Linked DNA regions of Mus musculus. Each later gene encodes a partner of the first gene's protein in a complex. Links are inferred from orthologs where the notes say so. Each region holds a gene or a part of one and is shown in the gene's direction. Other genes may lie near its edges. The genes, in order: Arhgef7 and Shank1.

Region 1 (3,802 bases):
CTCAGCGTCTCCGTAGAATAGACACCTTCCCTATCCCTGCTAGCCTTTCAGTAGATGTGGTGGCGTGAGGAACGTGCTTGGGAAAGCTGTTCACTTACCCACATCTGAAGGCAGTGGCTCATGCTGGAGGACTCACGCCTGTCTGTCTGTCCTTCAGAATCTCTGGGCTCCTGTCTCTTAGGTGTGTGTTGGCTTTTGTTACTTTGAAGCAAATGATTTTTAGTGTACAAGAAATATTTTTATGTAGCTGAAGAGGTTTGTCAGGTAGATGAGAGCAACATTGACTTAACAGTTTGTCCTACTTTCTTGTAGCTTGAAGAATCCACCGGTCCTCAGGCCTCAGTAGCAGTTTCTAAGTTCTTTTTTCTGGGCCACGCGCAGACAGTTACCAAGTAATATTCAAAGATACTCCATACAAGGATGGAGAGGGCTCAGTGGTTATGAACAGTGGATGTTCTTCCCAAGGACCTGGGCTTGATTATCAGCACACACATGGCAGCTCACAACCATTTGTAACTCTAGTTCCAGGGGGTCCCACACCTTCTTGTGGTGTTTGGGCTCTGTTCACATGCAGGAAGACATCACACATATAAGCAATACAAAGAAATATATCCTGACCTTTTACTTTTTCTTTTCTTTCCCCTTTCTCCTTTCCCCCTTCCTCTCCCTCCTTCTCCCTTTCCCCTTTCCCCTTTCCTTTCCTTTCCTTTCCTTTCCTTTCCTTTCCTTTCCTTTCCTTTCCTTTCCTTTCCTTTCCTTTCTTCTTTTTTTCTCTCTCTTTTCCTTTTCCTTCTCTCTCTCTGTCATTCTTTCATTCTCTCATTCTCTCTCTTTCCACAGGATCTCTGTTACATAGCTCTTACTGTCTTAGAACTCAATATATAGACCACTGGCCTGGAATACACAGAGATCTGTTTGCCTCTGCCTCCCATGTTTTGGGATTAAAGGCTTGTGCCATCACACCTAGCTAAATAAACCCTTTTTTTTTTTTTTTTTTTTTTTGGTCTTACAAAGCGCTCACAAGCTCTATAGCTCTTTCTGGTTATAGTTCTCCGACCTGCTGAGGTTTAATGTGGGTTTGGTTAGATTCTGGTGGCATTTAATATTGCTCATCTAGTTTGGTAGAAATCTCAAGTAGAAATAAGGTCTGAGATTCCATGGGATCTGGTATAAAGATTTGTGCACACATTTATGAACAGATTCTTTTTACTATTAGGAGAAGAATGAGAGATACCTCCTGCTCTTCCCAAACCTTCTGCTCATGTTGTCTGCAAGTCCCAGGATGAGTGGTTTCATCTATCAGGTAAACACAGCTACACTGATTGTAGTTTTTGTTTGTAGTGGATGTGGCAATTGTTCTCCTTTGAATTGAATGTATTAATGTTGTACTCACCTGTGTGTGCCACGTGTGGTACCATGTCGTGACTCTGTGTAAGAACTCTGTGTGTTCACGTCTGTTGCATCTTTTGATGTGACTGGAGAGCAGTGAACAGCCCACATCCATCTCTCCCTGACCGCATTGTCCTCTGCAAAGCACATTGCTTCTCTGGGCTTTCATGTTCCATTCTGCCCAAGGTAGGTTCAGCTAGGTGCTGAGGGCTAAGGTCTTCAGTAAGGGGTAGAACATCCCAAAACTCTGGACTTGGAACCTGATCATTTAACCTTAGTAAACTGTTAGTAAACTTTCTTTTAGTGTCTTGGTTTGTCACCATTTCTTGGAGAACGTTTGAGAGTTAGTTGTAAGAGAGAGTGTGAGGGACTCTTTTCTGTTAGTCCCCACCAATGGTGGGGACATTAGGTAGGGTCTGGGAGATGCTATCAGTGATCCTGTCTCAAGGACTGGCTAGCCTCCACATACTATTTTAGTGGATGTTGTTGTTTCACTTTCAACCGGCTTTTCTCTGATGTGTGTGTTTTATGTTGTCCTGTGGAAAATAGATGTGGCTTGGTCTGTCCCTAGGAGGGCTAGTTACCACAGGTGTCCCAAGGGAGCCTTTACAGATAGATGGCCGAGCAAATATGCATGGGAAGAGTCAGAAACCTGAGGCTTCCATTGGTGAGACCTTCTGGGTGGCTAAGGTGCCCGGGTGGCAGCTCCCTGTTGAGAGATGCCTGTTTCTGGCTCCACTCCATACCCTAGAGCCCCAACCTAGGCTGGCACTTGTGCAGGGGCTGTCTGCTGTTGCTGCAGCGTGCTCCTAGAGATGCCATCTCTGTACCAGGGCCATCTTTGTTCCCAGGAGTATGCTGATTAGCCCTGTGGTGATCATCACCTCCAGTGCTTGGAGGCTAAGGCAGAAAAATCAAGATTTTTTAGGCTAGCTTGGGCTACATAGCAAGAGTCGTCTTAAAAACAGAACCTCCTTGGCTTTGGGGATGGCAGCTCTGGCAGTGGGACTGCGGCTCCATGGCTGAAGATAAGAGGCGGCTGCTGGGAAAGCGCAGCCAACACTCCTCTGTGGGGCTTCTTGTCCTCAGCCACTGAGGGGTTAGGCCTCTGTTGCGCTTTCAGCCTGGCCCTCAACTGTTTGGACTGGGTGACTTGTTTGTTTGGTTTGTTTTTTGCCTGGAGTAGGGCACAAGATAGGGAAACCGTCGTCGGTAGTTTTCCTTGTTTGCTTTGGACCTCTGTTTACACATCATAAGCAGTTTGACTCCCATGTCCAGGTCACAGTCCATCCCTGAGGATAGTGCAGGACAAGCAGGAACAGAGAAGGAGAATAAGAAGGAGTGCCCTGCTGCCTGCCTTCCCCTGCTCCCCCCCACCCGCCATGCCTTTCTAAGGTTTTGAAGCCTCTGCCCAGAGGTGGCATTTTGCATGGTGGGCTGGGCCTCCTGCTGTCAGTCACTAATCAAAAGTACCCGGGCAGGCTTGTCTGTGGGCCCCAGGAAGGCTGACAGTCCCTCTGTTGGGCTTTTCTCCTGCTGATAGCTTTAGTTGTATCAAGTGGACAAAACTCATCAGCACAACTCCTGTCTCCTGTCTGCTGGTGAAAACCCTGTTCTCTTTGTAAAGATGTGGCCTTTGGCAGCTGGCTGTCACAGTTTATATGGCCCAGGGAAAGCTGTTGCCTGCTGGCTTTTACTGTTTAAATGAGCTTTGTCCCCCTGTTTTTCTCAGCTGGCATTTCCTGCTTCATGGAGAATCCCTCCCATTTTACAGACAGACTGACTGCCACTTGGGCACCCTGTGGCATCCGTTTGACATCACGGCTTATTTCCTGTTTGAATTGTCTCTCTCTGTGTTTTTGTCTCCATTACTCATCAGCTGGCTCTTCAAACTCCTAACTCCTTTCTCTGTGAGGCAGTGAGTTCTCTGTCATATGCCGTTAAAGCAGCCACTGTGCACCCTGGCTCCGTCTTCTGTCTTCCACTCATAGAATCACCCATTGGGTCAAGATCCTGCTTTGGTTCAGTTTGGGTTCTTGATCTGGTTTGACTGTTCTTTAAGGTGTCCTTTAAGCTCTTTTGTACACTTAATTCTGCTGCCACGTGTGAAGTCATTTAATGTGTGTGGTCCCTTCTTTATTAGGAAAACATTGTTTTGGGGGGTCTTTTGTAGGGGAAGCTGCCAACAACAGGAATGACAATCACAAAGCTTGAGGACAGTGAAAACCATAGGAATGCATTTGAGATATCAGGTAATGTATCCACACTGTGCCAGTGCCATGTCCTTGAGTGAAGAGCCTTATATATGTCTGAGGGTGTGTGAGGTGGCTTTGGGTCCTGGGTGTGTGTGTACATGTGCTTATGTGTACTCACTGTGCCCCTCCTCTCTAGGGAGCATGATCGAGCGGATTCT
Region 2 (4,394 bases), on another chromosome or scaffold:
TGCAGAATGCCTCATAGCCGCTCAGTGTATGTACCAGCACCAGCAGCTGTTCTCCATGGGCGCAGCTGCTCGGCACCTGGGTGGGTGCATCAAGATGAGGGCCTCTCTAAGCTGGGTACCAACTCCAGTTTATCCCAGGATGCCCCAGAGAAGCTGCAGCTGAAGACAAACTCAGAAACTATCTAGAACAACCCTCTGTAGGAGCTGGTGTTCCCTAGTGGCCCTGGGGACGCTGCTGGGCAAAGTGGAAGTCATGGCTGAAGAGGGCTGAAATATGCTGAATGAATCTGCCTTCCTCTGTGAATGTACCAGGTAGGAGAAAGCTGACTACCTGCACACAATTAGCTTTGTGTGTCCATGTGTGTGAAATTGGAGGCGTTATAGAATGCAGAAGGGTATACATCTTCAGGTATGTTCTTTGAAACACCATAGCAGGCCTGTGGAGAAGATGGAGACAGCCTTCTGTGTTCTTCACCCTTGATACCACCTCTTTATAGCTGGGTGGCCTGGGCCAAATTACTTAGCCTTTCTGTGTGCTTTGACAGGAAAGAAGTCACTGAACCTGGCACCTATAGTATACTCAAGGATAGCTGGGGGGGTGGGAGGTGTGCTGTGGGCAGGGTGTACAGGCAAACAGGCAAAAACACCTGTGATGACCAGTGGAGTGGGTGAGCTGGCTCGGACAGCACACAGGTCTGTCTACCGTGCTTCTTGTAGGTAGATCTAAGTATGTAGTTGGAGTATGGTGTAGGTCAATCTTGCAGGGTGCTGTCGGTATGCTGTGGCACAGGGGTGTGACATTGTGCATGAAGCTGGGTGTGTGTCTCTGGTTGTGTGTACTGGGCAAGCATGCCCTAAGGAGTAGGTAGCTGTGGGTATGCTTGGTTTACAGGACCAGCTTGGGGGAAGGGGTATGTGCCTCAGGTACTTCCATGTATGTGAGCTCATATGGAAAGTTGTGTGCATGTGGGGAGGGGTATGTGTGTGTGTGTCGGGGTGGAGGGGTGAAGGTACACACATTTGGGGGTACAGGACCAGAATCTATAACCCACAGTATTCGATTTGGGAACATACAGACTCTACAAATACAAATAGCACCCCACCATGTGTAGAAAGGGTGGGGAGCAATCTGGAGGAGGGGCTCCCCTAGGAAGAGCAGGATCCCACTAGGGGTACATGGGGGTGAGCAGGGGTGGAGTCTGGGTTTGAGGATGGGGCAGTGGAGATGAAGGGTGGAGGAGGGCGAGGGGGGGGGTGGAGCCGCGCGTGTGTTGGGGGGAGAATGGGCGAGGTTTGGGGGCTCAGGGAGGGGCGATATCTCTCTGCGGGCTCCCGGAGGGAGGGGAGAGGGCGGAGGGAGGGGAGGGAGGGAGAGAGAGGAGAGCGAGAGAGAGAGAGAGAGAGAGAGAGAGAGAGAGAGAGAGAGAGAGAGACCGGGTGAGGGAGAGACAGCGAGTGCGAAAGAGAGCGAGCCGGGTGGCAGTGGAGGCGCCGACCGGGACTCAGCAGCCCCGCCAGGCAGGTAAGGGCACGGGACACTACAGGGTGGTTCTGGGGTAGGGTGCAATTGCGAGAACTGGGGTTGCGGGAGAGGGCGGAGGCGCCCCGGATGTCCTTGGCCTGGCGCCGGCTCCGGCCTGGGTGTACATTTAGGGTGTGTGTATGGGGGGGTGAGGGTGTGGAAGGTAGCATGGCCCCTAAGGGTGACATCAAATTGGGTTGCGACCTGGTCCCGAGTGCCCCGTCCCAGATCGTATCCTTGCTAGGAGGGTGTGCCCCATCCCCCACGTGCTGCGCCCCCTAAGCCGAACTGGTCTCGGAGGCTCTCCGGGGCCAAGACTGGGTCTTGGTCCCCGCCTCCCAACCCGGCTCGGCCACTCCCCCGCCTCGCCCACCCCAGCACACCTGGGCCCCTCCCCTAGGTCACCCTGGTCTCCAACCACTCCAACCCAGGGTCTGGGCCAGAGCCTCCTACGACGCCTGGACCCGGCGCCCCTTCCAGGCGTCTGTAGTTCCTTTCCACCCGCGCCTCGCGTGCCCATCGCGCCTCAGGTTCCTTCTCCGCAGGCCGGCGCGCCCCCTCTGCTCCCGCCCCCAGTCCCAGCTCCCTCTCCCGACCCAGGGCTATTCTTTCACCAACCTCCCTGCTCCCGCCTTCCTCCACCTCCATTCATTCTCCCCGGGCCCGGCTCCTGGCCACGCCAGCCGTCCCCTGTCCCCCCGCAGCCTCTCAGGGCACCCCCTCTCTCCCCTTAGCCACCCCCCCCCCTCGCCGATTCCTCAGCCCGTCTCGGTACCAGCTGCGTGCCAGCTATTCTTAGCCGCCGAGCTTTTGATTCATGCCGCCCCGGCGGAGTGTGCCCGCTCCCTCCCTCGAGGCCGGAGGGGGAGGGGCCCCGAGCTGTCCTGGGTGTTGGGGCAGTGGAGCCCGCGCTATAGGGGACCTAGCCTTTGCTGACCTTTTATCCCACCTGCCACCCCTTTCCTGCAGAGCTGGGGCTGCAAAGGGGATGTCAGCCAGGGTCAGCCGAGGGGGAGTGGCTGAGGTCACACTGCCAGGCGGGATGTGGTGTAGGGCGGTCAGCAGACTGAGCTGGAGGCCCGGGTCTCCTCCCCAGCCCAGCGGGTTGAGCCACAAGGCAGGGTACCTGGGATGGGGTGCTTCAGAGCTCGGTCCCCGCGAGGGGGAGGGTTCCTCAGCCCGTGGTTAGACGCCTGCTCGCCTACAGTTCTTGGAACTCTCTTCCTTAAACATTTCGTCTTTCCTTCCCCAACCCTCCCTCCCCCCAGCCCATCCCCACTCCCCCAAAGTCAGCAGTACCCTCCACTGCTTCCCATCTCCATGGCAACGGTGCAGGAGCCGGGCCTGGTGTGGGGTGGGAGGGACCAGACCAGACATTCTGCTTTCCGGTTCTAGAGTGGGGAGTAGGGGGTGGCAAACAGGAGAGAAGAGGACCGCATTTGGAATGGAGCCACCCCTCAGTAGGCCACTTTGAGAGGGACGACCCTCCCCATCTCCTGGTCCCCATATTGTTGCAGCTCACTTCTTAGCTTCCTCCCCAGACACCCCACCCAATCCAAATTCTCCTCGGTGGAGCCTCCAGTACCAAGCAGTGCCAGCCCACCCACCCTGCTGTGCCATTCCTGAAACACCCACAGGTCACCTGCAGCTGCCCACACCCACCCAGGCCACCACAGCTTGTCACCTGGACTTTCCAGCCAGAGCCAGGGCCAGCCTCCCTATCCACCCACACATCCTCTTCACACGCCCCAGTAACCTCTCATCATGGGTCTCTTGGGCCCAGCTCAGGGGAACTTCTCTTTTCTGTTCATCCACCCCCACTCGTGTCCCTCCATCCCCTACAGGGACAGCTCATTCCCCAGCAGCAGCCCTCTAAACATGTGGTCAGCCACACTTCAGTGAAGTCACCAGCTCTCGGGCACCTCCTGCTGCCCCAGGCTCAAAACTCACACCTCCATCTCACCTTTACTATAAAAGTCAGTCTCCACCTCCCTGGGGTGAAGGGGCCAGGCTCCGGCCAGGAGGGCAGGATGCCGGGGTGGATTGGTCCACCTGTCTGTCCTTAGCTAATTTTAGCTTCATTTTTTTGTAGTTTGACAAAGTGGGCCACTAGCTCCCGCGGTGATTCTGTGATTTCTAGGACACACTGGGTCAGCCACAAAGTGGAGCGCAGGGGGGTGGGGGGCTGCAAGCAGGGCCAAGGACAGGGAGGAGAAAGGTGCCAGGAAGGCTGCAGAGGTGGTGCAAACTTGTCTGTGCAGGGGGCTGAGGGCATGTCTAGTCTCCCTTGGCTGCCCCTGTGTCTGTCCACTGGTACTGGTGGCCTCTGAGTGGCTCAACAGTGAGGATCACCCTTGCTTTTCTCAGCTGCCTGTGATGCTGCTGTCCCCCGTCGCCCCGTGGCCCCACGATGACCCACAGCCCCGCGACAAGCGAGGACGAGGAAAGACACAGTGCCAGCGAGTGTCCCGAGGGGGGCTCAGAATCGGACAGCTCCCCAGACGGGCCAGGAAGAGGCCCCCAGGGGACTCGGGGCCGAGGCAGCGGAGCACCTGGTAACCTGGCCTCTACCCGAGGCCTCCAGGGACGCTCCATGTCTGTCCCTGACGACGCCCACTTCAGCATGATGGTTTTCAGGATTGGCATCCCTGACTTGCATCAGACGGTGAGTGGTCACTCACCTGCCAGCTGACAGACACATTGGCCAAGTCTTTCCCCACTCTCAATCCCAGATCTAGCTGGAATCTTATTCCTTTTCCAACCTACCCTTGACCCTCATACCCTTGACCCAACCTAGCCCCAGACATCCTGTCTCCCACCAGAAATGCCTACGCTTCAACCCAGATGCCACCATCTGGACAGCCAAACAGCA

The links.
Region 2: the proteins of Arhgef7 (region 1) and Shank1 are in contact, whole or in part, in a crystal structure (PDB 3L4F), measured with the Rattus norvegicus proteins. The link is inferred for Mus musculus from reciprocal best matches to the Homo sapiens genes ARHGEF7 and SHANK1. Residues at the interface, in XP_063131056.1 of Rattus norvegicus: Asp735, Ala737, Trp738, Asp739, Glu740, Thr741, Asn742, Leu743; in NP_113939.2 of Rattus norvegicus: Gly673, Phe674, Gly675, Phe676, Val677, Leu678, Arg679, Gly680, Ala681, Lys682, Phe696, Glu703, His735, Arg736, Val739, Ile742.

Annotation. Positions count from the first base shown.
Region 1 is NC_000074.6:11,811,381-11,815,182, forward strand, and holds part of Arhgef7 (rho guanine nucleotide exchange factor 7), read left to right. Parts: intron 1-1,216; coding exon 1,217-1,303; intron 1,304-3,562; coding exon 3,563-3,641; intron 3,642-3,780; coding exon 3,781-3,802. UniProt on the Homo sapiens protein: Acts as a RAC1 guanine nucleotide exchange factor (GEF) and can induce membrane ruffling. Functions in cell migration, attachment and cell spreading. Promotes targeting of RAC1 to focal adhesions. May function as a positive regulator of apoptosis.
Region 2 is NC_000073.6:44,308,775-44,313,168, forward strand, and holds the start of Shank1 (SH3 and multiple ankyrin repeat domains protein 1), read left to right. Parts: upstream 1-1,489; 5' UTR 1,490-1,522; intron 1,523-2,210; exon of another isoform or gene 2,211-3,889; 5' UTR 3,890-3,932; coding exon 3,933-4,187; intron 4,188-4,344; coding exon 4,345-4,394. UniProt on the Homo sapiens protein: Seems to be an adapter protein in the postsynaptic density (PSD) of excitatory synapses that interconnects receptors of the postsynaptic membrane including NMDA-type and metabotropic glutamate receptors via complexes with GKAP/PSD-95 and Homer, respectively, and the actin-based cytoskeleton.